4 linked regions of the Stegostoma tigrinum genome follow. The protein of the gene in region 4 interacts with the protein of the main gene of each other region in a pairwise test. Links are inferred from orthologs where the notes say so. Each region holds a gene or a part of one and is shown on either strand. Other genes may lie near its edges.

Evidence for each region.
Region 1: the proteins of disc1 (region 4) and immt interact in binary tests that used the Homo sapiens proteins (3 or more experiments, as listed by UniProt). The link is inferred for Stegostoma tigrinum from reciprocal best matches to the Homo sapiens genes DISC1 and IMMT.
Region 2: the proteins of disc1 (region 4) and KAT8 regulatory NSL complex subunit 1-like interact in a two-hybrid assay, tested with the Homo sapiens proteins (2 studies listed by BioGRID and IntAct). The link is inferred for Stegostoma tigrinum from reciprocal best matches to the Homo sapiens genes DISC1 and KANSL1.
Region 3: the proteins of disc1 (region 4) and cdk5rap3 interact in a two-hybrid assay, tested with the Homo sapiens proteins (2 studies listed by BioGRID and IntAct). The link is inferred for Stegostoma tigrinum from reciprocal best matches to the Homo sapiens genes DISC1 and CDK5RAP3.

The regions. Positions count from the first base shown.
Region 1 is NC_081354.1:168,485,525-168,493,707, forward strand, and holds the start of immt (MICOS complex subunit MIC60), read right to left. Parts: upstream 3,305-8,183; 5' UTR 3,113-3,304; coding exon 3,074-3,112; intron 1-3,073. UniProt on the Homo sapiens protein: Component of the MICOS complex, a large protein complex of the mitochondrial inner membrane that plays crucial roles in the maintenance of crista junctions, inner membrane architecture, and formation of contact sites to the outer membrane.
Region 2 is NC_081384.1:40,720,947-40,728,725, forward strand, and holds the start of KAT8 regulatory NSL complex subunit 1-like, read right to left. Parts: upstream 3,277-7,779; 5' UTR 2,842-3,276; exon of another isoform or gene 2,813-2,841; intron 1-2,812. UniProt on the Homo sapiens protein: Non-catalytic component of the NSL histone acetyltransferase complex, a multiprotein complex that mediates histone H4 acetylation at 'Lys-5'- and 'Lys-8' (H4K5ac and H4K8ac) at transcription start sites and promotes transcription initiation.
Region 3 is NC_081384.1:3,047,978-3,055,484, reverse strand, and holds the start of cdk5rap3 (CDK5 regulatory subunit-associated protein 3), read right to left. Parts: upstream 3,383-7,507; 5' UTR 3,299-3,382; coding exon 3,293-3,298; intron 2,343-3,292; coding exon 2,297-2,342; intron 308-2,296; coding exon 176-307; intron 1-175. UniProt on the Homo sapiens protein: Substrate adapter of E3 ligase complexes mediating ufmylation, the covalent attachment of the ubiquitin-like modifier UFM1 to substrate proteins, and which is involved in various processes, such as ribosome recycling and reticulophagy (also called ER-phagy).
Region 4 is NC_081357.1:97,266,536-97,274,604, reverse strand, and holds the start of disc1 (disrupted in schizophrenia 1 protein), read right to left. Parts: upstream 3,080-8,069; 5' UTR 2,831-3,079; coding exon 2,725-2,830; intron 1-2,724. UniProt on the Homo sapiens protein: Involved in the regulation of multiple aspects of embryonic and adult neurogenesis. Required for neural progenitor proliferation in the ventrical/subventrical zone during embryonic brain development and in the adult dentate gyrus of the hippocampus.

The sequences.
Region 1 (8,183 bases), on a different chromosome or scaffold from region 4:
CTAATTTGAAGACTCATATGACTGCCAGGCATCAGAGTGGCACAGAAACCCACATCAACCCTACAATTGCTCAGCCGAACCAAAGACCCACTCCCCGCTATGGATAGGACCAATGCCATCCATAAGATTCCCTGCAGAAACTGTGAGAAGCACTACATCGAACTAACACGAAGGAAACTAACATCGATACACGAACACCAACTGGCTACAAAAAGACACGACTAATACCCAGTCATCTCTATCCACATGGATAAGGAGAACCACCAATTTGACTGGGACAACACCAAAATCCTGGGACAAGCTAAGCAGAGACAGGCAGGGGAATTCCTGGAAGCCTGGTACTCCACGAAGAAAGCCATCAATAAACACACAGAACTCGACCCCATATACACTCCACTACGAAAGCAAACCGAAAGTGAGGCAATCCAGCTCAACCGACTCCAGAGTTTAAAAACCAAGTGGGACAAACACACCAGGCGCTTCATCGGGGGCTGCACTGATGGTGTTACCCAGCAGGGTAATGAAACATCTTTGGAACAACGAACCAGCTCGGCAAGCCAGCCAACCACAATACCGGATTCACAACGCCCATCAGAAATTCCTCCGCATTTTTATTAAATGGGTGATCCTTCACTGAAATTTTGCCCTCCGGTTGTAGACTCTTGCAAAATGGGAAACAACCTTGCAGTATCTATGTTGTCACGTCTTCTAAGAATCTCACAGACTTTCACAGGTTGCACAAAGCTTCAAATGTGTCAGCCAACACCGCATGCTCCTCCTCCAAGGACACCCAGGCACAGTCGTAATTACGGAAGACAGACAAAGACAGATGGTACAAACAACTAATGTTGTAATTAATTAATGCTCTGAAAAATATCTACATCCACTTGATAGAACTAAGAACTATACAAAGTAAGTGTGATCATTTTGTATTGCAGATTCAAATTACAAATCCAAACCATGCAATGTACATGGCACCAACTGCAAAGTATGAAACATTATCAGCTTAAAAACTCAAGTCTATTTCTTCTCATTTCTGAAGAAAAGTCAACCCTGTTATGATCCTGCAATGTTAACATGTTAAAAAGTCAGATTCCAGAGGAAAATGTAGCTTGAGATCCTAACTTTGTTCTTTTTGTTTAGAAAGTGGAGGTCCAGCACTGAACACTTTCACAAGTGTACATTTAACAAGGGAGTAACAAACCATACAACACTAAATAACATTCCACAAAAGTTTCAGTAACATCAAAATTACTCTGCATTTACAATATTCTTTTTATTCCAGCAATGGCAAATCTCAAAGATTCACCACCATCTCCATGCTTGACTGCTTGTGCAAACTGGCACAACTGCAACCTGTTTCCTTCTGGTAAATTCCAGGGCATTCTGTTGATGCTTTTCTGCAGATAGTATCCCTACCGAAACACCTAAATAAATTGTAAACTAAATACTATCTACAGAAATTGGAGTTTCTGTAAACTCAGTTGTCAGCAGTGCTGCAGGATTGCTTACTAGAGTATTTAATATTCCTGTTTCCAATTTCTACCACAACCTGAAACCTTATTGCTGGAGGACAATTTTTGTCTTTTTTTTAAAACAAATGCATTGAACAACCAATCCCCCATCTGTTCACTGTAAAGATTGTAAAACCACATCACAAATGGATGTATAGAAAAAGGCTGCCAAATTTCCAGGTACAAAGCCCACAAAACCCTCACAATGAAACTAAAACTTCCTATCAAAAAATACAAAATATAAATTAAACTTGAAGTGATAGTTTGTTCCTCACATCCTGAAAACTTAACCGTACCTCCACAGACCTGTTGCGTTTTCCCAGCCTTTGCCGTTTTCAGGCCAATTGCATTTGCAGTATTTTACTTTAGGAACATTACTTACATGGTTACTTATGTAGACCATTTATGACTATTGTTTTAATCAACATTGTTGGACATGTTATGACACAATGCTGTGCCAAGTACTACTTGAACTCAAACTTTCTGGCCCAGAAGTAGAGGCACTACCACCACACCACAACAGCCCTTATTGAAAATCCCATCGATCACCAGGCATATTCAATTTACTCTGGCCCATTAGGCAAAAGTCAACTTCACAATTAGACTAATGTTACACTGATGGTACATTATTATCATTTTTTCTCTGCTGCACATAAGAGAATTACATTAAGAACAACAGTGATAAGGCTAAACATTGTGGAAGGAGGGAAACAATGTAAATACCTTTAAACAAAAGCTTTACCGAAGCCATGTGCTGATTTGACTTGTCCTACACATAATATTTTCAATGTAGGTCTCAGTCTTCAATTCACAAAAGAAATAGCTTTCAAAGAAAATACCATTACTCTGAAATATATTCAGTAGATTTCCAAACTCTTTGAAGAATGCTTTGGCATTCTGAGATCCGTGATTTCACATATTAAACTAATATATTGCAGTACATGGGAAATCAGGAACTGAAAAGTCTTAAAACAAAATGGGCTCATGCTTTTTCCTGGTCACTATACAAGACGTTACTATATTCATGGACAAGGTCACGTCGTTTTCTCTGTAAAAATCAGATAACATTTAAGAGTCTCGCGTTCCTCTTCGTCACCAGATTAAGGGGGTGGGAAGAGAATAAAAGACGTACGACAGCAAATGCGTCTTTAATTTAAGCGATAAATAAAGTCTGGCTTTTCCTCTTTTTTCCCCATCAAGAAACCTGCATTTCCCACTCGTGTCATGGTTGCTCAACCGAGCTTGATTTCTCCCCGGGCCACCACCCGCCTTTTCATTGCTGATTGGCCGGTAGTCTGTAACTCCTCTGCCGATTGGTGCAAACTCACGTCAATCGCCACCTCACCCGGACAACTGAGGTAGGTTGAACTAACGGCCTGATTCTAGCTCCTCTCCCCACACCCCAAAACCAGCCCGTTTCTCTCTGTGGTCAATGGTTCACCGTCGAACGGAAGCGGTGAACCTAGGCAAGGCCACTCTAGAGACAGCAACAAAAGGAAATATCTTCTGTCAGGCCTGTTTAATGTCAGAATCGGTCCGTCTCGCCCGGTCTTTCCTACCTTCAGCGGCGGAGCTACTTTCCATGAAGCCCTCAACATTTTCCCTTAAACTCTTCGATGGTTTTATGTTCTTCGATGAAGAAAAGTACTCCGCTGTACCGGATCAGAACATTTTTTTTTACAAAAAACATAGACAATTAGAGACTAATGTGCAGCCCAACACCTTACTCCCTCGCTGTGAGGCGGGAGTGACCGTGTTGACCGCTTTCCGTACGATCGAGGCTGCGCCACACCAACGCGCACGCGCCCGCCCCCGCTGCTCTGTCTAACTTGGTCTTGGCGTCGTGCACAACCAACCTTGATAGCTGCTGAAGGCACTTTCTCTTTCAGGGCTCTTGTGGTGCAGTGCTAGTATCTCGACCTCGGAGCGAGTAAGCCCGAGTTCAAGTTACACTTTCTCAAGGAAGATGTATATCTTTCTCTCTCTAACCCTTCAATCTGACGAGTGATTTGCCCATTGAGAATCATCATCCACTTACCCTCCCCTCATACAGTGCACTCTGGGATGCTATCTACCTCCACGAAAACCCCTAGGGATAATTTTATAGCACAGAAATAAAGCCATAAGACCCAGAAGAAGTAGGCCTTTGAGCTCATCAAGTTTCTCTGCTGATCAGATAATCCTCAATTCCACTTTCCTGCTTTATCCTCATAACCCTTGATTCCGTTGCTGATGAAAATTTATCTCAGCCACGAATACATTTAATAACCCAGTCGTAATAGCCCTCTGTGGTACTTAATTTTTCAGATTCTGTACTAAATCTGTCCCTTTGGCATGCATTCCAATGCCACCTCACTCGAAGAGCCATATCCATTCAATCCCAATGCTCTGACAATTTTTCCCTACCCCTTTTAAGATTATTCCAGCACTTATCCACGTGTGCTTAGTAAGTTTTGATAAATTCCGCTTCACCCTTGCTTCTCACATCCAGGGAAATAAAATAAATGATGCTCAGACTAATGGATAAGGGCTGGATGCTGGTAAGATCAGTATGGGTTGCTTCTGACCACCTCCTCAAAGGCAACTAGGGATGGTCAGTAAATGCTAGCCCACCAGTGAACCCAACATCCCATAGATGAATATAGAACAAAAAAATGAAAAGAACTGAGGAACCCTAAAGGAACTAAAGCTACAATAGGTGTCATATATAGATCACTTGATAGCAGCTCAGAAGTGCTAGATTGTATAAATATTCAAATTTGGCAACTATGTAGCAAAGGCAGAGTAGTATTAGTGTGGGACTTTGATCAAGATAGACTGGGAGAGACAGACAAGCACCTGCCAGAAAGGTTGTGAATTTCGAGATAGTTTTGAGATAGTATCCTATGTCAATATGTCTTGGATGCAACAATGGAACAAACAATATTGAATCTAGTAACAAGAAATGAGTCTCATTTAATTAGTGGCCTGGTTGTTCGTGAGCATTTGCCAAATAGTGATCATAACACATTTGAGTTTCATGTAGTGTTTGTAAGAGATAAGCAAAGATTGGATACTAGAATTTTGGATTTACATAAGATAGATTTTAAAGGGATGTGGCAGAGACTATCCACAGTGAAGTGGGAAGTTCTGTTACTACGTAAAACAGCCAAAGAACAGAGGAAGGCATTCAAAGAAACATTTACTGCAATTCAGAAGCAATTTATATGCGTATAAAGGAAAAGCTACACCTCATTAAAAAAAACACAACCATGGACAGTTAAGGAGGTAAGGAGCAACATAAAATTAAAAGGGGCTTATAAAAACACATAGAAAGTACAGATTCCACAGAATTGGACAAATATAAAGACCAAAAAAGGCCCACAAAGCAGCTTATAAGAGCACGCTAGACCAGAGGGCAGTTAAGAGGGCATCACATTGTTCTGGGTCAGGAGTCATATTTAAGCAGATAAGGACAACAGTTTCAGAGATAATGGGAACTGCAGATGCTGGAGAATTCCAAGATAATAAAATGTGAGGCTGGATGAACACAGCAGGCCAAGCAGCATCTCAGGATGCTGCTTGGCCTGCTGTGTTCATCCAGCCTCACATTTTATTATCAAGGACAACAGTTTCCTTCCTTTAAGGGCATCTAGATGAGTTTTTCCTGTCAAGTAACAATGGTTTCATAGCCATCATTAAAATCTTAATGCCAGTTTTGCTTTTTATTGAATTCAATTCCACAATTTGCTGTGATAAGGTGTGAACCCAGGTCCCTGAACATTACTTGTGTCTCTGGATTAATAGTTTGGTGATTATACCACTACACTATTGTCTCCCCCACCTTCACAACAAAACACAAAAATGACCAGGAGCTTCCAATTGCCTGCCACTTTAATACACCACCATGTTCCCATACCAACATTTCTGTATCAGGCCTGTGGCAGTGCTCCAGCAAAGCTCAACACTTGAGGAATAACACCTCAGCTCTGCTAAGGCACCCTACATCAAGTTGAACAGTTTTGGAACCTGAACACCCCCTTTCTTGTCTATTACCTATTTTCAAACCCCAGGTCCTGTCTTGAAATATGTTGGCTGTGCTGAAAGCAACCTATTTTCAATTATTCATTGCCTATAAAGTGATTTGTCATACATACAGGCCCTTCAGTCCAACCTGGCTATACTAAACATCAAAACTCAAACTACACTAATCCCATTTACTTGCACTCAGTTCCTACTATGCCCTGGCATTTAAGAACTCACCCCGATGCTTCTTAAATGTTGTGTGCCACCATCCTCTGAGGCAGCATGTTCCATATTTCTAGCATCCTCTGGGTGAAAAAAATTCTCAGATCTCTCCTAAGCTGTTTACTTCTTGCCATAAACATGTGCCTCCTGTATTAGACATGTCTGCTATGTGGAAGATATTCTCATGATCACCTCCATCAATACCTGTCATTGGAGGTACGATGTTGTGGCCATTACAGATACATGGATAACACAAGGGCAGGAATGGCTGTTGGATGTTCCGGGGTTTAGATGTTGCAAAAGAAATAGGGATGGAGATAAAAGAGGTTGGGGTGTGGCATTGCTAATCAAGTATGGTATCACAGCTGCAGAAAGGGAGATCATCGAAGAGGGTTTGTCTACTGAGTCAGTATGGGTGAAAATCAGAAACAGGAAAGAAGCAGTCACTTTATTGGGAGTTTTCGATAGACACCCCAATAGCAACAGAGACACTGAGGAACAGATTGAGAGGCAGATTTTGGAAAGGTGCAGAAGTAAGAGGGATGTTGTCATGGGTGACTTCAACTTCCCTAATATCAACTGGAACCTCCAAGTGCAAATGGTTTAGATGGAGCAGACTTTGTCAGGTGTGTCCAGGAAGGATTTCTGACTCCATATGTAGATAGGCCAACTAGAGGGGAGGCTATTTTGGATTTATTGCTTGGCAACAAACCAAGCTAGGTGTCAAATCTCTCGGTGGAAGAGCATTTCAGTGATAGTGATCACAACTCCCTGACCTTTACTATAGTCATGGAGAGGGACAGGAGCAGACGGTATGGGAAAGTATTTAATTGGGAGAAGGGGAATTACAATGCTATTAGGCAAGAACTGTGGAGCATAAATTGGGAACAGATGTTCTCAGGGAAATACACAACAGAAATGTGGAGGTTGTTTAGGGAGCAGTTGCTACAGGTACTGGAGAGGTTTGTCCCACTGAGGCAAGGAAAGGAGGGCAAGACATGTGGAACATCTAGTCAAGAAGAAGAAAGAAGCTTACTTAACGTTGAGAAATCAAGGATCAGACAGGGCTCTAGAGGTTTACAAGGTAGCCAGGAAGGAACTGAAGAATGGACTTAGGACAGCTAGAACAGGGTATGAAAAAGCTTTTGTGGATAGGATTAAGGAAAACCCCAAGGCATTCTATACTTATGTGAGGAACAAGAGGATGGCCAAAGGGACAGTGGAGGGAACTTGTGCATGGAGTCAGAGGAGGTAGGGGAGGTCCTTAATGAATATTTTGCTTCAGTATTCACCAGTGAGAGGGACCTTGTAGTTTGTGATGCCAGCACGAAATAAGCTGATATGCTTGGACAGGTTGATGTTAGGAAGGAGGATGTGCTAGAAATTTTGAAAAATATGAGGATAGATAAGTCCCCTGGGCCTGATGGTACATACCAAAGGTTGATATGGGAAGCGAGGGAAGAGATTGCTGTGCTTTTGGCAATGATCTTTTCGTCCTCACTGTCTACTGGAGTACTACCAGATGATTGGAGGGTGGCAAATGTTATTCCCTTGTTCAAGAAAGGGAATAGAGATAATCCTGGGAATTACGGATGAGTCAGTCCTACTTCTGTGATGGGCAAATTATTGGAGAGGATTCTGAGAGATAGAATTTATGATCATTTGGAAAAGCACAGTTTTGATTAGAAATAGTCAGCATGGCTTTGTGAGGGGCAGGTCATGCCTCACAAGCCTTATGGAATTCTTTGAGGATGTGACATAACACATTGATGAAGATCAAATAGTGGATGTGGTGTATATAGATTTTAGCAAGGCATTGGATAAGCTTCCCCATGATAGGCTCATACGGAAAGTAAGGAGGCACGAGATCCAGGGAAATCTGGCTGTCTGGATACAAAATTGGCTGTCCAATAGAAGACAGAGGGTGGTAGTAGATGGAAAGTATTCAGCCTGGAGCTTGGTGCTACTGGTGTTCCAAAGGGACCTGTTCTGGGACCTCTGCTCTTTGTGATCTTTATGAATGACCCTTGGATGAGGAAGTGGAGGGGTGGCTTAGCAGGTTTGCTGATGACACAAAGGTCGGTGGAGTTGTGGACAATGTGGAGGGCTGTTGTAGGTTACAACGGGACATTGACAGGATGCAGAGCTGGACAAACAAGTGGCTGATGGAATTCAACCTGGAAAAGTGTGAAGTGATTCATTTGGAAGTTCAAAATTGAATGCAGAATAATGGGTTAATGGCAGGATTCTTGGCAGTGTGGAGGAACAGAGGGATCTTGGGGTCCACATCCATAGATCTCTCAAAGTTGCTACCAAGTTGATAGGGTTGTTAAGAAGGTGTACTTTCTTGGCTTTCACTGGCGGGGGAATTGAGTTTAAGAGCCACGAGGTTACGCTGCAGCTCTATAAAACTCTGGTTAGACCACACTTGGAATATTGTGT
Region 2 (7,779 bases), on a different chromosome or scaffold from region 4:
TCCACAAACCTGACTGCCCTGGTCAACCCATTGTCTCCACCTGCTCCTGACCCACCGAACTTATCTCTACGTATCTCAACTCCATTTTCTCCTCCTTGGTCCAGCAACTCCCCACCTACGTCAGTGACACCACCCACGCCCTCCACCTCCTCCAAAACTTCCAACTGCTTGGTACCCAACACCTCATCTTTACCATGGACATCCAGTCCCTATACACCTGCATTCCCTATCCAGATGGCCTAAAGGCCCTCCTCTTCTTCCTGTCCTGCAGGCCCGACCAGTCCCACTCTACTGACAGCCTCATCTGCTTAGGTGAACTCATCCTCACCCTTAACAACTTCTCTTTCAATTCCTCCCACTTCCTACAGACTAAGGGGGTGGCCATGGATTCCCACATGGGCCCAAGCTATGCCTGCCTCTTTGTAGGTTATGAGGAACAACCCCTCTTCCGTAGCTATACTGGCCCTAAACCCCATCTCTTCCTCCATTACATCAATGACTATATCGGCGCCGCCTCGTGCTCCCACGAGGAGTTCGAACAGTTCATCCATTTCACCAAAACCTTCCACCCCAACCTTACATTCATCTGGACCATCTCTGATACCTCTCTCTCCTTTCTGGGCCTTTTTGTTTCCATCTCTGGCAATCACCTGGAAACTGATACCCATTTCAAGCCCACTGACTCGCACAGCTACCTAAAATACACCTCCTCCCACCCATCTCCCTGCAAAAATGCCATCCCCTATTCCCAATTCCTTCGCCTCTGCTGCATCTGCTCCCAGGAATGAGACATTCCACTCTCGAATATCTCAGATGTCCTCGTTTTATAAGGACCACAACTTCACCTCCTCAGTGGTCAAGAACGCCCTTGACCGTGTCTCCCACATTTCCCACAACTCATCCCTCACACCCCATCCTCGCAATAACAACTAAAAAAAGAATTCCCCTCGTCCTCACGTACCACCCAACCCACGCATCATCCTCCAACGCTTCCGCCATCTGTAATCCGACCCCACCACCAAAGACATTTTCCCTCCCCACGCTTATCTGCTTTCTGGAGGGACCACTCTCTCCGTGACTCCTTATCCACTCCACACTCCCCTCCAGCCCCATCACACCCGGCACTTTTCCCTGCAACTGCAGGAAGTGCTGCACCTGCCCCTACACGTCGCCCCTCAGCCCCATCCCAGGCCCGAGAAGACCTTCCACATCAAGCAGATGTTCACCTGCACATCTGCTAATGTGGTATGCTGTATCTGCTGTGCCTGATGTGGCCTCCTCTACATTGGGAAAACCAAACGGAGGCTTGGGAACTGCTTTGCGGGACATCTACACTCAGTTTGCACTCACCAACTGCACCTCCCAGTCATGATCCAATTCAACTCACCCTCCCAATCTTTTGACGACATGTCCTTCCTGGACCTCCTGCAGTGCCACAATGATGCCACCCGAAGTTTGCAGGAACAGCACCTCATATTTTGCTTGGGAACCCTGTAGCCCAGAGATATCAATGTGGACTTCATAAGCTTCAAAATCTCCACTCTCCCTACTGCATCCCAAAACCAGCCCAGCTTGTCCCTGCCTTCCTATCCTGTCCTTCCACCCACCTATGCCCTCTTCCCACCTCAAGACCCATACCCATCTCCTACCTACTAACCTCATCCACCCCTTGACCTGTCCGTCCTCCCTGGGCTGACCTATCCCCTCTCTAACTCCCCACCGACACTCACCTTTACTGGCTCCAACCCTGCCTCTTTGACTTGTCTGTCTCCTCTCCACCTATTTTCTCCTCTATCCATCTTCTATCTGCCTCTCCCTCTCTCCCTATTTATTTCAGAACCCCCTTTCCTGCCCCATTTCTGAAGAAGTGTTTAGGCCCGAAATGTCAGCCTTCCTGCTCCTCTGATGCTGCTTGGCCTGCTGTATTCATCCAGCTCCACAGCTTGTTATCTCTCTCTCCATCATCTACTAGGCATCTACAAGGCACAAATCGGGAATGTAATGGATTATCCCCACTTGCTTGGATGAGTGGAGCTCCAACAACAGCCATGAAGGTAACACCATCCAGGACAAAATAACCCACTTGAATGACACCGCATTCACAAACATCCATTCCCCACACCACCAACTGTGCATATTATCTACAACATTTACTACAGAAATTCACCAAATATCCTCCAATAGCACCTTCCAAACCCAATAACACTATCATCTAGAAGGGCAAAGGCAGCATAGTTGGGATCACCACCACTTGCATATTCCCCTCCAAGCCATTCACTATCCTGACTTGGAACTATATTGTCATTCCTTCAATGTCACTGGATTAAAATCCCTAAAGTTCCATCCCTTATGGCATTATATGAGTACATAAAGCAAATAGTTTGTGATAGTGCAAGAAGGCAACTCAACACCAACTTTCAAGGGCAGGTATAGCTGGGTAATAAGTGCTGGTTGGTGACAGCCAAATTCTATTAATTAAAAAGAATGAAAAATCTCCTATCTACTATAAAACACGTTAATCTAATTTCTTATCGACAAATGTTCATTCATCCCTGATATCAATGCAATTAGTTTCAGATCTGAAGATTCCAGTTTGAGACCCAAGCATGTCTGAATTTTACGTCAACTTTGAGACTCTCATTTTATGGTCCTCATCCCCACAAGAATGTTTACTGAGAGGGTCACAGATTTGCACCCACCCTGCTCCACACATACCCAAACTCAACATCTGATATTCAACAACAGTGATCCCAAACACCAGTGCCATTCGGTCACCATCACACGCTTTCAGCCATCCCGATCTTCCACTCACCTCTCCCTATCCTTGATCCTCAACCCTACCTCATTCATCATCGTGGAAGGACACATTTCTCCATCACCACATCTTCGTTTGGTCGTCTCTCTCCTCTCTATAACGTCCACACCCGTTTTCCCAAGCCTCATCCACACACATTGATTCCCCTCAGCCCCCGCCGCCGGATCGGTGAAGATCGAATGGGTGAGGAGAGGGCGAGCGCCGGCCTCACAAACTCTTGAGCTCCGAGGATGCTCCAGCACCGACAACCTCCTAAGCCGGTCCCCTGTCCCAGCTCTCATCCTGTCCCCAGTGACAGCACCAGCCGAGAGCTGGGGGAGGAACCCGATCACAGAAATGCAGCCGAGGAAAGAAAGGGTGAAGGTCTGCGGTAGGAGTCGGGGCCCAAAGTGAGGCCAAGACAAGGCCAAACTGCCTCTACGGCCCGGGGCGCGCTTCCGAAGATCGAGGGCTTTCCGGAGGAGAAGGGCCTCTCCAAGGGGGCGGGGCTACATGTCCAGGAGGCGGGGCTACACAGCTAGGGTCGGACCCACAAGCCCAGGGGCGGGGCTACATGCCCGGGGCGAGACAGGATGACGTTGTTTGGGGCGGGGCTACACTGCCAGGGGCGTAGTCACAAGATCAGGGGCGGGGCTACAAGTATAATGGGGTGCTGCATGCTCAGAGGCGAGGCTACGTGGTCAAGGGCATTCGCAACGACACCGGGGCGGAACAACTTGCCCAAGGGCGAGGCCAAAAGCTCTAGGGCGGAGCTACATGTGCAGGGGCGGACCTATGGTGATATGGGTAGGGTTGCGGGCCCAGGGACTTTCTCCAGCCTCTGCTGTTCCCATTATTTTTTATCACTGAGCACTAAGAGACTGTTTCCGAAGAAGGGTCCCGACCAGAAAGGTCAACTTTCCTGCTCCTGTGATGCTGCCTGGCCCGCTGTGATTCACCAGCTCTACACCTTGTTACCACCGTCTCCAGAATCTGCAATTCTTGCTATCTCAACCAAGAGAATGTTCTTGTCTCTATCCAAGAGTGATGATGACCTTTTGTGAGTGTTTTTGGAAAAGCGAGGCAAATTTCTCCTTTACACAAAAGATCTCGACAAACGTGATATTCGAGCAGGCACACAACTCTCATGATCACAACTGAAGGTTTAACTATAGAGCCCTGATGGTGAACCTTAAGCCGATAGTCGGTCTTCAAGTTTGTTCCTGATTTTTCTTTTAAACTTAAAGTTCGTTTTTCCTCTTCTATTCCCCTCTGAACTTTTTGTCTATTCTTTTTCTGTGCGTAGAATCAGTATAGGTTCAGGTTAAAAGAAAACAAGGGGAAAAGAAGCCACTGGGCGGAATGGTCTATAGGCAATCTAACAGTAGCGATACGTTTGCACTGAATAAATCCGGAAATAATAAGGGTAAGTAACAAACGCATTGTACCAACCTTTAGTGACTTTAGCCTTTGAGGTCAGTTTAATTTTTATGTAGATTGGGATAGTCAGATTAGCAGAGAAAGAATTCAGAGGGTACTTGGTACTATTCACCGTATCTATGCGCCCCACGCTTCTATGATCTCGACGAACTTACTCCTCAGCCTCCTACACTTCAGGGGGAAAAAAAAGTCCTAGCCTATCCAGCATCTTCCTCGGTAATCTAGTCTCGGTTTTACGTACGCATGTAGATCCTTCTCTCAAAATCCCTTACCCACCACTGACGTGAGGCTCACCAGTCTACAGTTCACTGGATTTTCCTTGCAGCCTTTGTAACTAGTTATTATAGTTACTGTTCAACTAGTAGCACGTTAACCAACCTTCAGTCTTCCAGCACCTCACCAATGGCTGTTGATGGTACAAAGATCTCTGCTATGGACTCTGCAATTTCTTCCCAAGTTTCTCACAATGTCCTGAGGGTGGCACGGTGGCTCAGTGGTTAGCACTGCAGCCTCACAGCACCAGGGACACAGATTCGATTCCAACCTCGGGTAACTGTCTGTTTGGAGTTTGCACATTCTCCCCGTGTCTGCGTGGGTTTCCTCCGGGTGCTCCGGTTTCCTCCCACAGTCCAAAGATGTGCAGGTTAGGTGGATTGGCCATGCCAAATTGCCCGTAGTGTTCAGAAGTGTGTGGGTCATAGGGGGATGGGTCTGGGTGGGATGCTTCAAGGGTCGGTGTGGACTTGTTGGGCCAAAGGGACTGTTTCCTCACTGTAGGGAATCTAATTTAACGTAATGTACTTGATGAGGTCCCAGGGATTTATTTACCTTTATACATTTTAAGATCTCCAGCATCTCCTCTTCTGTAATGCTGGACCTTTTTTCAAGACATCACTGTTTACATCCCCGAGTTCCCGAGCTTCCATATCTTTATCCACAGTAAATATGGCAGTGCAATATGTGGTGAGGATCTCATCCATTTCCCGTGTCTTTATGCATACACAGCCTGTTGAATTTTAGGGGGCCTTCTTCTCTGCTTTGTTACTTATTTGTATACTTATAGAATGTCTTTGCATTCTCCTTTACCCAATCTACAATGACGTCCCTTTTTGTCATTCTGATTTCCCTCTTAAATGTACTGCTACATAGTCTTCCACAGATTCACTTGGTGTCAGCTGACTATACCTGACATATGCCTCCTTCTTTTTCATGAGCAGAATCTTGATATCTCTAATCATCCAGTGTTCCCTATCCCTACCCCTACCAGCCTTGCCCTTCATACCAACAGGAACATGCTGGCTCTGAACTCTTGTTGTCTCACTTTTGAAAACCTCCCACCTGTCAGATAGCCCTTCACCTATGAACGGACCTCCCCGATCAACTTTTGAAAGTTCCTGTCTAATATATCAAAATTGACCTTGCCCCAATTTACAACTTTAATATGTGAATCAGGCCTATCCTTTTCTATAACAAAAATAAAACTAATAGAATTATGGTCACTGGTCTCAAAGTGTTTCCCTGTTAACATATCAGCCACTAGCCCTGCCTTATTTCCCAAAGGAGGCCAAGTTTTGCACCTTGTGTTGTATGGTCATCTACATATTGATTAAGTTTTCAAAATCTTCCCCATTCAAGCCCTTATCACTATATCAGTCAATGTTTGAAAAGTTAAAATCCCTCACTATTACAGCACTATTATTCTTACACCTGTCAGTGATCTCCCCACATATTTGCTCCTCAATTTCTGACTGTTGGGGGTGGGTGTGGTGGTTACAGTACAATCTCATTACAGTGATCTCCACCTTCTTATTTCTCAGTTCCACTCACATAACTTTCATTGGACAATCCCTCAGGAATATCCTGTCTAAGAAGTGTCATGATATTTTCCCTAAAAATGCCACTCCCCCTCTCTTATCTCCCTTTCTTTCTTTCCTACATTATCTGCAGCCCAGAACAGAGCTGCCAGTCTTGTCCCTCCCTCAGCCATGTGTCTGTCATAGTTACAATATCCAGACCCATGTGCCCATCTATGCCCTGAGATAACAAGGTGTAGAGTTGGATGAACACAGCCAGGCCAAACAGCATCAGAGGAGCAGGAAGGTTGACATTTCGGGTCTGCTTTCCCTGTCAGGTCTCTTGCATTGAAATAAATGCAGTTCCCTCATTCCCTGTCGTGCTCTTGTCTGCCTTATCTACTTAACTTGATCTCTTTAGCTTCTGTACCAGCCTCAACCATCTCTGTTCTCTCACTACTGCTTAGGGTCCCAACCCCTGCCGGCCTATTTTATGCCCTCCTGAATAGCTCTCGCAAATCTCCCACCAGCAAATTGGTCACCTTCCAATTATGGTGCAACCTGCCCCTCTTGTGTTAGTCATTCCTGTTTTGAAAGAGATCCAAATGATCCAAAAATCTGAATCTCTGCCCCCTGCCCTGTGTCCTCAGCCACACATTCATCTGCCCTATCCTCCTACTCCTACTCTCACAAGCACCTGGCACCAGGAATAATCCAGAGATTACTATTCTTGAGGCCCTGTTTTTTTAACCTCCTGCCTAACTCCTTATATTCACTCTGTAGGACCTCATCCCCTTTTGTGCTTATATCATTGATTCCAATGTATACAACAACCTCTCGCTACTCACACTTTCCTTTGAAAATTTCCAGGAATTGCTCTGGGATGTCTTTGACCCTGGCACAAAGGAGGCAACACACCATTCCTGGAATCTTGTTTGCAGCTACAGAAATGTCTATGCCCTTGACTATACAGTTCGCTATCATAATTCTTTGCCATACCCATCTTTACAGCAGATCCAGTTGTGGTGCCAAACACCAGGCTGCTGCTGCTATTTTGCCCCTGAGAGGCTATCCCCCCAACAGTATCCAACTTATTTGAGAGGTGCCACAGGAGACCCTTGCATTACTTGCCTACCTTTCCTGGTGGTCACCAATCTATATGACTAAACCTGCAGTGTGACCACCTCCTTGAAGCTACAATGAATTCACTATCTCAAACTCAGAAGCAGATCCTGAATTAAATAAATTATCACAGCCAATTCATCTTGAGGTAGATGCTGAAGGAGACCCAGAGTGCTATTTAAAGTGAGAATGAGGCAGTGGAGTCCCTCACAGACCTGCAGATGAAAAATGTGTCGTTGTTCATCAGGTAGAGATATCACTCAGCTATCATAGGGGGATTTTGAGTGGTACGTGAAATGCCCATGGCAGGACATATGGGGCTCTGAAAGCTATTCATAAACAGGTTTTCTTACCTGGTCAAATTTACATAGAGAGGTGCAGTTTTGTAAAACATGCCATTCTTGATGATTTGTCACTAAACTGCAACATGTAATGAGACCAGCTCCCCTGATTCCCACACTGGCTTTTGAGGAGACATTCATTTGTTTACTAGTAGATTGTGTAGGGCCATTATCCGAAACAAAAGCCCAAAATGAATATATCCTTACAATTTTCAACAAGACCATTCCCTGAAGGAATCATGTGAATTGGAGTGAATCAAATTGGTTGAAGACTAATATCTAAAATGCT
Region 3 (7,507 bases), on a different chromosome or scaffold from region 4:
AAAGTCAAATAGGAAAATTCATATGGTACAACAATACTGGCACAGACTCGTGGGGAAGTATGACCTGTTTCTGTGCTGATTAATGAGCACTATCTCACTATTACAAAGTTAACCATTAATTGTATTTACACACACACAGACTACTGGGATGACACGTGGCAGAAATGGCACTGACATGATCCTGACAGGAGCTGTTTGATTTCCTCATTCTCCGGCATATCCTGGATTGCATTGTTGATTTTCTCCCGAATTACCAACACCGCATTCTGCCATTTCAGCTTGCAATGCCGTCTATCCACCAACCAATCTAAGGAAGGCAAGAAACAAAATACTTGTAAAGTACACTCGCCAGACATTCAGGAAACATTATTTCAGAAATTTCAATATTCCCTTTCACTTGTTGTGCACATTGATATACTCATTTGCCTTCTGGACTGGGCTACACATGGTTCCATGATGAGATACCCTACAAAACCCAGGCTAACAGTCCTGTTTAACATTGAGGGTGTGTGTCATTATCAGTGTCAAAGACGCCCTCTTTTGTATGAGGCTTCAGCCTGAAATCGCATTGAAATAATGCACCTGAGAGGACAAAGAAAAGCAGCAATGTTTTCCCTGCAGGCCTGGCCAATATTTAAACCTCAGTCAATGCTGCTAAAATGCAGATGTTGTTTGTGGGAGCTTGCTACGGAATAATTGGCTGCTGTGTTTCCTGTATCATCCCAGTGACTACACTTCAAAACATACTTCACTGGCTGTAATGCAATTATACAATGTCCTGAGGTTATGAAAGGTGCTATGTATGTGCATTCCAAACTGTACAGGATGCTCCTTTGAACTGACTATAGGGCTTCAGCAATGTGCAGGTTGGGATTGACCTTCATCCAGTCCCACATCAACCCCACCAACGTTATCCTAACCTTCATTCAAAACCCACAGTGAAAGCTGACAGTAATCAGGGAGCAGGGAAGGTAAAATCACTGGGTCGGTGCATTAGGCAGTAGCTCATTCCAACGACATTTAAAAACTGAAACATAATACCTATCACATATACTTTTAAAACATGATCATGTTATTGCCAACCTTTTAGGATTTTTCAAAAGAACTGTTCTATCAGGATTACTGACATTTAAACTCATTGCAAAGCCCTGTCCCAGGAATTCTAAACATTAAAAATTGAACATCGCAGCAAACTGAGATCAGAGATAATGGGAACTGCAGATGCTGGAGATTCCGAGATAACAAAAGTGAGGTGCTGAATGAACACAGTAGGCCAAGCAGCATCTTAGGAGCACAAAAGCTGACATTTCAGGCCTAGACCCTTCATCAGAAAAATGAAGAAGGGTCTAGGTCCGAAACATCAGCTTTTGTGCTCCTAAGATGCTGCTTGGCCTGCTGTGTTCATCCAGCTCCACACTTTGTTATCGCAGTAAACTGACTGTATTATACTAGGGATAGTAGGAATTGCTGACGCTGGAGTCTGGGATAACAAGGTGCGGAGCTGGAGGAACGCAGCAGGCCAGACAGCACCAAAGAAGCAGGAAAGCTGATTTCAGGTCTGGGCCCTTCTTCAGACAAATGTACCAGCTCTTCCTTCCTATTCACTGCTGCATTCCAATCCTGCACCTCACCGCAGAGAGACTGTCAACTTTTCGGGGAACACCTTTCCCACAGGGGGAAACGTGAGAGCCAAATTGTGCATGGCAAATACACCAAAGGAATGTCGGTGCTGCATTTTGTGGTAGCTGAGACACTGAAGAAATAGCCTTCCATTTTTTTCCTCTCTCTCACACACTTCTGTAAACCCAAAATCTTGCTTGAACCCTGAAGACCTTCAGACCTTGAGACAAGATGCAACTTCAGATTCAGGACAGCTGGTGCCTCAGGAAGAGTATCCTCAGCTGACTCTGGGCAATTGCTACACACAGTTCAAAACATTCTCTGAAGTTTCAGACTACTTGACTACGGCTTGCATTAAGACTCATATCCACTTGGCTTCTAAAGTTCAAATCAGCAGCAAAGTGTATTCAAGTAAATTTAAGATCAGTCATAAGAGACCCGGGAAGAATGAGGAGAATTTTAATTTTGAATAACTTGTGATCTGGAATACACTGTCTGCAAGGCTGATACAATAATAACTTCCAAATAGAACTGAATACATGAATGTTTGCAGAAATGTGGAAAATTGCAGGGGCTGAAGCTAATTTCAGAGAGCTAGCACGCACACACGTTGGGTCAAATCGTCTCCTGTGCTGTATAGCTCATTGGAAAATGATTCACCACTACAGACAATTACCCAAGAGCTTGCTGGTCTGTATATCGATTGGCCATCTCCTTTGGTCCTGTAAGGAAAATATTTCAAACATTGAATGAAAATTTGAACAATGTGGGTCTATAGTTGGCAGCAAGGAGAGACGAAAGGGGATGGGATAAAGGGGAAAGGAAAGGGAGGTGGGGATAGAGGCAAAAGGGGGATTGAACAGACAGGGAATGGGGGGGAGGGGTGGTGGGGAGGGGTGGTGGGGAGGGGGGAGGGGGGGAGAGAGGGGAGGGGGGTGGGGGGGAGAGGGGAGGGGAGGGGAGGGGAGGGGGGTGGGGTGGAGAGGGGAGGGGTGGAGGGGGGGTGGTGGGGAGAGGGGGGAGGGGGGAGAGGGGTGGGGGGGAGGGGAGGGGGGGGAGAGGGGAGGGGGGAGAGAGAGGGGAGGGGGGTGGGGGGGAAGAGGGGGAGGGGGGGAGAGGGAGGGGAGGGGGGGAGAGGGAGGGGAGGGGGGTGGGGGGGAGAGGGGAGGGGAGGGGAGGGGGGTGGGGTGGAGAGGGGAGGGGTGGAGGGGGGGTGGTGGGGAGAGGGGGGAGAGGGGTGGGGGGGAGGGGAGGGGGGGGAGAGGGGAGGGGGGGGAGAGAGAGGGGAGGGGGGTGGGGGGGAGAGGGGAGGGGTGGAGGGGGGGTGGTGGGGAGAGGGGGGAGGGGGGAGAGGGGTGGGGGGGAGGGGAGGGGGGGGAGAGGGGAGGGGGGAGAGAGGGGGGTGGGGGGGAAGAGGGGGAGGGGGGGAGAGGGAGGGGAGGGGGGGAGAGGGAGGGGAGGGGGGAGGGGGGGGAGAGGGGGGGGGGGAGAGGGGGGGGTGGGGGAAAGAGGGGAGTCGGGGGGGGAGGGAGGGACACTGACAGAGTGGGATCTGTAAGACGGGTCGAGGACTGAGGTGCAGGGAGGGGGCGGTGCGCGAGGTAACAGACTGGGAAGGGGAGTGGGGGGTAGAGGGTGAGGGTTGGTTAGTCTGCCCCCGCCCCTCACTCACCTCCATCCCGCTCGGGCCCTACCCCCTCACCAAACCTGCAGCGGCACCCAATCAAAACGCGGGCTGGAACGGGCCAATCGCATGTCATCCGAAGTACCAACCAATCAGATGTGGCCTTGTTGCACAATGTGGACCATTCAGATATGAGGAGGTCGGCCGCGTTGTGCATTATCGGACCAATCCGAAGTCGTACATTCACGAAGAGCCAATTATATGCCAGATAGGTTGTAATGTCCAATCACAGAGGGCGCAATCAACATTAAATGGTGGAAAGCGCATAAGCTTAACCAATGGTTAACGTTTGCGTAGCTGGACCAATCCCGGGAGAGAATGATTTTATTTTTTGTTTGTCGTGCGGTCGGTCGCACGGAGAGTGGGATGGGCGGGTAGTTAAACCAAACAGGTTGGAGGTTGTAGTGATAACAAAGTGTGAAGCTGGATGAACACAGCAGCATCTCAGGAGCACAAAAGCTGACGTTTCGGGCCTAGACCCTTCATGAGAGAGGGGGATGGGGAGAGGGAACTGGAATAAATAGGGAGAGAGGGGGAGGCGGACCGAAGATGGAGAGTAAAGAAGATAGGTGGAGAGAGTATAGGTGGGGAGGTAGGGAGGGGATAGGTCAGTCCAGGGAAGACGGACAGGTCAAGGAGGTGGGATGAGGTTAGTAGGTAGCTGGGGGTGCGGCTTGGGGTGGGAGGAAGGGATGGGTGAGAGGAAGAACCGGTTAGGGAGGCAGAGACAGGCTGGACTGGTTTTGGGATGCAGTGGGTGGGGGGGAAGAGCTGGGCTGGTTGTGTGGGGCAGTGGGGGGAGGGGATGAACTGGACTGGTTTAGGGATGCAGTGGGGGAAGGGGAGATTTTGAAACTGGTGAAGTCCACATTGATACCATATGGCTGCAGGGTTCCCAGGCGGAATATGAGTTGCTGTTCCTGCAACCTTCGGGTGGCATCATTGTGGCAGTGCAGGAGGCCCATGATGGACATGTCATCAAGAGAATGGGAGGGGGAGTGGAAATGGTTTGTGACTGGGAGGTGCAGTTGTTTGTTGCGAACTGAGCGGAGGTGTTCTGCAAAGCGGTCCCCAAGCCTCCGCTTGGTTTCCCCAATGTAGAGAAAGCCGCACCGGGTACAGTGGATGCAGTATATCACATTGGCAGATGTGCAGGTGAACCTCTGCTTAATGTGGAATGTCATCTTGGGGCCTGGTATAGGGGTGAGGGAGGAGGTGTGGGGGCAAGTGTAGCATTTCCTGCGGTTGCAGGGGAAGGTGCCGGCTGTGGTGGGGTTGGATGGGAGTGTGGAGCGAACAAGGGAGTCACGGAGAGAGTGGTCTCTCCGGAAAGCAGACAGGGGAGGGGATGGAAAAATGTCTTGGGTGGTGGGGTCGGATTGTAGATGGCGGAAGTGTTGGAGGATGATGCGTTGTATCTGGAGGTTGGTAGGGTGGTGTGTGAGAACGAGGGGGATCGTCTTTGGGCGGTTGTGGCGGGGGCGGGGTGTGAGGGATGTGTTGCGGGAAATGCGGGAGACGCGGTCAAGGGCGTTCTCGATCACTGTGGGGGGAAAGTTGCGGTCCTTGAAGAACTTGGACATCTGGGATTTGCGGCAGTGGAATGTCTTATCGTGGGAGCAGATGCGGCGGAGGCGGAGGAATTGTGAATAGGGGATGGAATTTTTGCAGGAGGGTGGGTGGGAGGAGGTGTATTCTAGGTAGCTGTGGGAGTCGGTGGGCTTGAAATGGACATCAGTTACGAGCTGGTTGCCTGAGATGGAGACTGAGAGGTCCAGGAAGGTGAGGGATGTGCTGGAGATGGCCCAGGTGAACTGAAGGTTGGGGTGGAAGGTGTTGGTGAAGTGGATGAACTGTTCGAGCTCCTCTGGGGAGCAAGAGGCGGCGCCGATACAGTCATCAATGTACCGGAGGAAGAGGTGGGGTTTGGGGCCTGTGTAGGTGCGGAAGAGGGACTGTTCCACGTAACCTACAAAGAGGCAGGAATAGCTGGGGCCCATGCGGGTACCCATGGCCACCCCCTTAGTCTGTAGGAAGTGGGAGGAGTCAAAAGAGAAGTTGTTGAGGGTGAGGACGAGTTCGACTAGGCGGATGAGGGTGTCGGTGGAGGGGGACTGGTCGGGCCTGCGGGACAGGAAGAAGCGGAGGGCCTTGAGGCTGTCTGCATGTGGCATACAGGTGTATAGGGACTGGACGTCCATGGTGAAAATGAGCTGTTGGGGGCCAGGGAATTGGAAGTCCTGGAGGTGGTGGAGGGCATGGGTGGTGTCACAGACGTAGGTAGGGAGTACCTGGACCAAAGGGGAGAAAATGGAGTCCAGATAGGTGGAGATGAGTTCGGTGGGGCAGGAACAGGCTGAGAACAATGGGCTGACCAGGGCAGGCAGGTTTGTGGATTTTGGAAGGAGATAGAAAGGGGCCGTGCGGGTTTGGGGAACAATGAGGTTGGAGGCTGTGGGTGGGAGGTCCTCTGAGGTGATGAGGAATGGTGTTGGAGATGATGGTTTGGTGCTTGGGGGTGGGGTCATGATCAAGGGGACGGTAGGAGGTGGTGTCGGAGAGTTGGCGTTTGGCCTCGGCGATGTAGAGGTCAGTGCGCCATACTACCACTGCACCTCCCTTGTCAGCAGGTTTGATGATGAGGTTGGGGTTGGAGCGGAGGGGCTGCCCATTCTGCGGGGGAGAGGTTGGAGTGGGTGAGATGGGTGGAGAGGTTGAGGCGGTTGATGTCTCGATGGCAGTCGGAGATGAAGAGGTCGAGGGAGCGTAGGAGGCCTGGGAGTGGTGTCCAGGAGGAGGACTTGTGTTGGAAGCGGGTGAAGGGGTCAGTGGAAGGAGGGTTGGGTTCCCAGTTGAAGAAGTAGGCATGGAGGTGAAGACGGCGGAAAAACTGCTCTATGTCCGACCGTGACTGGTATTCGTTGATGTGTGGTTGTAGGGGGACGTGTGGTTGATGTGTGTTCTGTGGGCTAAAGGGCCTGTTCTGTGCTGTACTGTTCTATGTTCTATGTTCTAAATCCAATATTGATCTTGCTTTTGTACAGCCACATTCCTGTGTGCCTCACTCTGTCAAAACATCTTACAATCTGTTTCTCCTTGTTTGTTATGATCTACCTGTACTGCATGCAAAACAAAGCTTTTCATTGTAGTTAGGTACATGTGACAACAATAAATCAAATCAAATCAAAGATTAAACTATATAAAGAATTAGGTGGGGACCATTCCTGTAACCTGAATGATCAGACAGCCTTTTACAAATATCCCTCCATTGATGACCCAATTAAATATTTGCAACAGTGATAATGGGAACTGCAGATGCTGGAGACTCCAATAAAATGTGAGGCTGGATGAACACAGCAGGCCAAGCAGCATCTCAGGAGCACAAAAGCTGACGTTTCGGGCCTAGACCCTTCATCAGAGAGGGGGATGGGGAGAGGGAACTGGAATAAATAGGGAGAGAGGGGGAGGCAGACCGAAGATGGAGACAAAAGAAGATAGGTGGAGAGGGTGTAGGTGGGGAGGTAGGGAGGGGATAGGTCAGTCCAGGGAAGACGGACAGGTCAAGGAGGTGAGATGAGGTTAGTAGGTAGATGGGGGTGCGGCTTGGGATGGAAGGAAGGGATGGGTGAGAGGAAGAACAGGTTAGGGAGGCAGAGACAGGTTGGACTGGTTTCGGGATGCAGTGGGTGGAGGGGAAGAGATGGGCTGGTTGTGTGGTGCAGTGGGGGGAGGGGACGAACTGGGCTGGTTTAGGGATGCGGTGGGGGAAGGGGAGATTTTGAAACTGGTGAAGTCCACATTGATACCATTAGGCTGCAGGGTTCCCAGGGGAATATGAGTTGCTGTTCCTGCAGCCTTCGGGTGGCATCATTGTGGCACTGCAGGAGGCCCATGATGGACATGTCATCTAGAGAATGGGAGGGGGAGTGGAAATGGTTTGTGACTGGGAGGTGCAGTTGTTTGTTGCGAACTGAGCGGAGGTGTTCTGCAAAGCGGTCCCCAAGCCTCCGCTTGGGTTCCCCAATGTAGAGGAAGCCACACCGGGTACAGTGGATGCAGTATACAACATTGGCAGATGTGCAGGTGAGCCTCTGCTTAATGTGGAAAGTCATCTTGGGGTCTGGGATGGGGGTGAGGGAGGAGGTCTTGGGGCAAGTGTAGCATTTCCTGCGGTTGCAGGGGAAGGTGCCAGGTGTGGTGGGG
Region 4 (8,069 bases):
CTAGGGGGCATGCATTTAAGGCGGTTGCGGGGGGAGGGGGGGGGGAGTTCAAAGGAGATGTGAGGGACATAGAGTAGTAGGAGACTTGAATTTGTCACCAGGGATGGTGGTAGAGGCAGATACAATGGGGCATATAAGAGACTTTTAGATAAGCACATGAATATTCAAGGAATGGAGGGATACGGACCAAAGGCAGGCAGAAGGAATTAATTTAATTTGGTGTCATGTTTGGCACATCGTGGGCCGAAGAGGCCGTTGCTGTGCTGTACAGTTCTATGTTCTAATACCTTTACCAATTTAAAGTACATCATGATGAAAACATTTGTTAAACTAATATTAATCCCAGCTATCTAAAATTTCCATAATGGGTTTACTCTGGAGTGCACAATTTACATCCCTAATATTAATTCAAAACAAATAGATGAGTGCCTTAAACTCTTGGTATGGTTGTAATTTTATTCTTGAACTACAATGCATAATTTAGCGTCCATTGGCTATTCATTCTAAAGAAGCCTGATAAGTAGACAATATTTTGAAGAATGTTTTCCAATTTGGTACTTTCAGCTTAAGAGAAAACCAGCTCCTTTTACTGGCCCAAACACTGAAATCTATTTTGCATCCTGATATGTGATAGTCATTTATTACAAATACATTTTTAAAAATAAGTATTTTGTATACTTATGTGGGTGTTCACGTTATATTATGCTTTGATGAACTTTGATTAACTTCATTAATAAGAAAGGGTTCCATCCAGTCAATGTCAAACTCACCTGTGATCACTGCAAAAACATTCTGGAAGTCTGAGGCTGCTGCCCTGGAAACTGCCATGATGCCAATATCTTTGACAATTCTCAGGTTCCTGCTTCATTCCAAAGACCAATTGCTTTATTAAGAGCCAACAATTACCCTTTGCCATCATGGCTGATGACTCCATTTCGTAACCTCTGACTCAGACTGAAGCTAAATACAATGCAGCCCATTCTTCCTTTGGGAGACATTAGGCTTCCTCAGATGAAATTTCCATGCACGAAAACATTTGGGGATTTCTTGCAATACTCTGATAATGGATTGCACCACATAATCCTTGCACGTTGTACTCTGGACAACTGACCCAAGCAAAATGGGGATGGGTAATTAAGGAGCTGTGAGAGCAGCAACATTCTGCTGATGAGAAAGAAGAGGACGTTGAGCAAAAGGAACATCAACCTCGCCACAACAGAGTGAGGCAGCGTTGAGCTCAAAACAAAACACCTATTAGACACCCACTTCCAAAGGAATAGAGTTGGTTGAAGTCATTGGCTGTAAGTGCTTAGATGCTGGAAATTCAATTAGCCCCTATATATTCTCAAAAGCAAAAGTAGCTTTTGGCTTGTTCCTTATTCGCCTTTCCTGTTGTACAAGTTACCTTTCAGAGCTGTTGGAAGGCTTCACAATATCTGACACTTCGGCATTTAAAATGACAGCTACCAAGGGGAAGCATGTGAATGAAAAGTAGGAAGTAGCCTAAAAAGCAGGCCTAAGTTTGAATCAAACCAAGATTCAGTTCCTAAAGCTACTTCTATTATCAGAGATGCCTTTCAGTTTAGCTCCAGTAATTTACTGGAGAAAGTAATCAAAGTTGGCAGCTGTTTCAAGAATGGGAATTTGTCAGTACTGCCTCATGCTAAAATAAAAGTTGACAGTGGACTTTCAAATATAAAGAGCAGCAGCATGGAGAGGACTGAAAAGACAAGGGTTTCAAGAAGCAAATTTTTATGTGACCTTCAGTAGTTACCACGGTCAGCTTTCTGCATAGCAATTCATACAAATCTAGAATGGGAGCATTCAGTGAAAGGCAAACTTCTAGAAAGTGCAATTTCAGTTATCAAGTTACTTACTGTACAAGTTAGTTTGGAAATCAGATCATACAGCAGGTGCAGAGGATATGTTATCTCATATCAGTAAAACATCATCACAGGTAGTTTACTTATAATAGTGAATATGAAATTGTGCTATCTATGCTCTTATTTCAGGCAGTATTTTTGGAATTGTTGCAATATTATCTATTTAGAATAGCTCACTTTGACAAAGGTTTGGTACAGAATATCATGGTATATATAATTACCGTACGATTAAATGTGGTTTTCCCTTCACTACAAAAATATTAAAAGTGAAAATAAATATTTGCAAAGTTGTTACCAACCGTATACAGTACATGCAAAGTTAAGGAATTATTATTTAAAATAAAAGAAATAAGCAATATGTGACAAATGTAAACTGTAAAGATCAATCATAACAGCAAAATTTTGAAATAAAACTCCACGTAAATGCGTGCTTACATTAATAAAGAAAATATTTTTCTTAAAATGTGCTATCTATGCCACAAGGTCTTTGGTAAAGTGCTGAATAAATTCTCCCAGCTCCCCGATGGAGCGGAACTGTAAAGGGCAGAAGATCCCAGATTCATGCCCTAGTCGTTATCTTAACTAAGCTGATGAGAAAGATTTTGCAATTAATCGGCGTCCATAGGGCAGGGTTCGGCGAATCAGTAGTTATCATGTCTAACGTAAAGGGGAGGCGGGTCCAAATACAACTCAATAACAGGACTCCGGTACTGAACCCAATCTCAGATGGATATAGGGTGTGGTTAGAGGGGGAAAAAGAGCCCTGGATACATACGCAGGATGTCAGCAATTTGTTTTATAAAACCGCGCAGCGAAACCCGTTCCGTATTACGAGTCATACCTCTTTTCTGCGGGTTTTGCCCCCGAGGCCCAGGATCACTGCTAGAAACTGATCTCGGCCGATCCGCGAAAGATTCGCGTATTACATCCATTCCATCGAACATCATCAGCCAGACCGGCCGAGGCGCGAGCTAACGGCCCCCACTGAATAACCCCCGTCCCGCGCGCTTTGCTTCCGTTCGCGCCACTTTGACAGTTCCTCCAGCCGTTGTTGTCCGTTCGGTTTGATTATCGTGCGACCCTCACCCAACTGCTCGTCTCCAATGGTGGTCGAAACCCCGCGCGCGCGGATCCGTGCACGACAAATTGAGGGAGACAACGACACCGAGTCCTCTCAGTTCGTTATGCCAAAGGGTCAGTCTCTTGCAGAGATTTGAGGAAGTGAGCGAATCAGTCCTTTTCTTTTACACAAACGCAGTGGCGACTTTGTTATTACAGCTTCACAAAACCTTCGATTTTGAAGGTTCTGTTTGGACGAATTTTGAGGGTTTAGTGCTCTGTTTTTGAGTGGCCCAACTGCGTCAAAAGCATTATGATTACATGCTTTATATTTGTAATAAATCTCACTTTTACTTTTGACCTGTTTACTGATGTAACATTCTGGAATTGGATACCCTTCAGTGGAGAAACGATATATTGGATGAGTTGTGGTCTGGAATGAATGTATTACCTGAAAGGATGGTGGAAAAGACTAATACGGAACGGGTTTCGCTGCGCGGTTTTATAAAGATCTCTAAATGGGAATAGAATAAATAGCGAGGACAAATTTAAAAGGCTTTGAATAAAGAATAAGGGAGTGGAACCAATTAGATAGTTATTTCCAAAACACGTTGTTGTATAAGTTTATGTTTCTTAAGAGTTCTTCTTTTAAATCTAAAGGAGCTTTTACGCTTCACTGAAAGGTTTCTATTTCGGGTTTTTCGAGTTTTTTCGGAATTGTTCTGAAGGTGGGTCACAGTACTTGTTTTCTCTTCTAGATGTTCCCACATCTGCTGTGTTTCTCCAACAATTTGTGTTCTAGTTTGTTTGTTATCTTCTACCACTAATCTTTACATAAACCCAAGACAGGATTACAGGCAGTGAACTACTGCAAACAATCCTTAACTGGTACTATATACTAGTTGGTGTCAAAATTCACCCAGTTACCATAAGTGGTTACCTTGGAAAATCCTATATGGCTGCAGTGGTGTCACAAAGAAAAAATATCCAGAAGAAAATTTTAAAAATTCAAGTGAGTTTTTGCCACTTTAACAGCCAGCATTTGCACTTTGAAAGTAAATCTCTCTCCTGAACCCTCTCCAGTTTGATAATATCCTCTGTACAAGAGGGCAGCAAGAACTGGATACAGTACTCCAGAAGTGGCCTCAGCAATGTACTGTACAACTTCAATGTAACTCCTACACTCAAAGACCTGAGCAATGAAGTCTAGAATGCTAAATGCCTTCTTAACCATATATGTGATGCAAACTTCAAAGAATAATGTACCTGAAGCCCTAGGCCTCTCTGTTTCACAACACTACCGAAGGCCTTACTTTTAATTGTGTAAGTCCTGCCCTTGTTTGTTTTACCAAAATGTAAAACCTCACAGTTATCCAAATTAAACTCCATCTGCCACTCTTTGGCCCATTGATTCAATTGATCGAGATCACTTTATAATCTTGGATAACCTTCTTCACTGTGCATTACAGCACCATTTCTGGTGTCATCCATAAACTTTCTAACCATGTCTTCTATATTTTCATCTAAATCATTTATATAAATGACAAACAAAAGTGGACCCAGCACCGAATCTAGCAGAATACTGCTGGCCACAAGCCTACAGTCCAGAAAACAACTCTCCATTATCACATTTGTCACACACTGTCACTCCTGAAAAACTCAATTTAATTTGTGGGGTGCAATTTCACTGAAAACCATGCTTACTATGCCTAATCATTACTTACTTCAAATGCATATAAATCCTATTCTTCAGAATCACCTCCAACAACTTACCCACCACCAAAGTCATACTCACAGGATTATAGTTCCCAGGCTTCCCCTTACATCCCTTTTTAAATAAAGACACAAAATTAGCCACTTTCAGTCATCTGGCATCTCACCCACAGTAATAGATGATACAAATATTTATGCAAGGGGCCCCACAACATCCTAGGATAGACTAGATCAGGTCCTGGCGATTTATCCACCTTTATATTTTCTAAGACATCCAGCACTTCCTATTCTGTAATGTGAACTGTTTTCAAAATATCAATATTTATTTTCCAGAGTTCTCTAACTTCCATTTTTCTCCACAGTAAAAACAGATGCAAAATATTTATTTACTATCTCTCACATCTCCTGAGGTTCAACACAAAGATAACCATGTTGATCTTTAAAGGGCCTTACTCTCTCTCTCTAGTTGCTCTTCTGCTGTTAATGGCTTGTAGAATCTTTTTGGATTATCCTTAACTTTATTTGCCAAAGCTATCACATATCCTGTCTTTGCCTTCCTAAATATCCCTCTTAAGAATGTCCCTACATACTTTATACTGTTCAAGAGAGTCATTTGAACCCAGTTTCTATATCTAATATATGATACTTGTTTATTCTTGACTAGGACCTCAACATCTTTCTTCATCCATTGTTCCCTAATCCCATTAGTTTTACCTTTCACTCTAACAGGAACATAATAGCTGTGACCTCTCGTTACCACATGTTTGAATACCTCACAATTATCAGATATCCCCTTACTTGTAAACAGTCTACTCCAGTAAACTTTTGAAAATTCTTGTCTCATATCTTTAAAATTGGCCTTTCTTCAATTAAATCTTTAATTTTTATGGAAGGTTTGTCCTTTTCCATAACTATTTTAAAACAAATAAATTATGATCACTTGACGCAAAGTATTCCCATACTATCATTTCAGTCACTTGTCTGTCTTATTATCCAAGAGAAGGTCAAGTTTTGCTCCTTCATATTGATAAAGAAAATTTTCTTGAACATATTTAACATTCTAAACTATCCAAACCTTTAATACAGTGGTAGTCCTAATCAATGTTTGAAAAATTGAAATCTCATTATTATAACTATTATTCTTAGATACATCTGAAATGTCTCTACATATTTGTTCCTTAATTTTCCTGGCTGCTGGAGGTCTATATTACAATCCCATCAAGGTGATTGTTCCTTTTTCATTTCTAATTTCAATCCATATATTTTCACTGAATGATATTTCAGAAATATTTTTTCTAGTTACAGCAGTAATGTTTTCCTTAATCAAAAATGCCACTCCCCCTCCTCTTACGTCTCTTTCCCTTCCTGTAGCACCTAAAACTTAGAACATTGAGCTGCAAGTCCTGTCCGTCCTTCAGCCAAGTTTCTGTCATAGCTATGGTGTCCCAATCTCATGTTGAAAGCATGCCCCAAGTTCATTAGCCTTACCTATAGGACCCCTTCCATTGAAATAATTCTTCAGTTACTTCATTCTCTGACTTGCTTTTGTCTGTCTTTTCCAATTGTTCTTTTCAGATTCAAAACCATCTTCATTTATCTTTCTATTTACCCTGCTATTTAGGATGCCTCACCCCCATCCCCCAAACCCTCTCCCTCCCCAAATAGTTTACAGTTTCTCTTAATAGAATTAGCAAATCTTCCCTGTAAGATATCAGTCCCTTTCCATTGCAGGTGAAACCCATCCTTTTTGAACAGGTCTTTTCTGCCTTCGGAGAGATCCCAATGATCTGAGAATCTGAATCCCTGAACATTACATCACCTCTTCAGCCGTTGATTTATCTCCTTCATCATTTTATTCTTTCCCTCATTTGAGTCTAGCAGCGGGAGTAAACCAGAGATTACTACTTTTGAGGTTCTGTTTTGTAATCTTCTATCTAAACCCTTATTCACCCTGTAAAGCCCTGATCTTTTCCCTAACCTTGTCATTCCTACCAATGTGTACAATAACTTCTGGTTTCTCACTTATCCTTTTAACAACATGCTTCAAACATTTTAAAACATCCTTAATCGTGGCACCAAGAAAGCAACATTATATCATAGATTAATGTTCATTGCTGCAGGATCTCCTGTCTGTGCCCTTTATAGGAAAGTCATCTCTAACAATTATTCTTTCAAATTTTGTCAAAGCCAGCCTAACATAAGATTGATTCTTAGTGCCCATGATCTGGCTGCGTCTTCTACTTTTCGTCTAAGAGACTATCCTTTTCAACAGCATCCAAAGCTGAGCATTTGTTTGAGAGAGAAATAACCATGGGAGACTTCTGAACTTCTGAAATTTCTTGACAGTCATCCATCTATCTAACTGATCCTGCTGTGGAATCTCTAAATCTATTAACCACCTAACACTGTGTCTCTTGTATGCCCTCAATGGCATTAAGCGTAAAAAGTAGCAGCTTACAATAGTGCCTTATATATGAAATATACCACCTTTCCATATGTAAAGAATTAATGTTAAGCATGCAAAAAATAAGGAATAAGAAAAACATATAAATCTTAAATAAAATAAATCAGTTAGCTGAACAATTAAATTAAGAAATGAGTCTTCCAGAGGTCCAGCAGACAGACTTCAATCTTCTGATTAAAAGATCTCACTTTACGCATGTAGGCCTCTCCAAAAGCTCCATAAACACTACTACATTTAAAAAGAACTGTCCTCCATGATTTGAAAAAAATCTCTTCAGCAATGTTAAAAAACACTCTCCTCTTAGGCATATAATTTTAGAGAAAAATGAGCCATCCACATGTCTCTCCAAAAGGCCTGTTAACACAACTCTGAAAAAATGTGCTTTTTTTTTGTTTTTGCGTTTTTGACTGTAAAAGAACCAAAAATAAATCAAACTAAAAATCTTATAATACTGAAATGTAGTAAATGTAAAAAATCTAAAAGTAAGCTATGCATAGGCCTTTCCAAAAATTCCGTTACAGAACTCCGTTTGAAAAAAAAGTGCACTTTTTAAAACGTTTTTGTTTATAAAAGAATCAAAATAGAAATCATATACAATTAAAATGTAATAACTGTAAGAAATCTAGAAGTCAGCCTGCAATCTCAGGAGCAGCTGCAAGAGCCATGGTCTTCTCAGTCCACCATTTTAGACAGGAACAAACAGGCAAGCTCAGCAATCCAAAGACAAAACTTTATTCACAGGCCGTTAATGACTACTAGGGCCAGAATATGGGGTAGGAAACAGGTGAAAAGCCACACCAAGAAAACATAGAGGTCTTAATGAAAGTAGCTGTGTTAGCAAGCCACAATTTCAGTGGAAAGATTTATAAAGGCTGCATCAAAAGAACTTTATTTTAAAAATGTACACAAGGAAGTCCTCGGTGTTTTAGACTGAAAAGTGAGAAAATGTC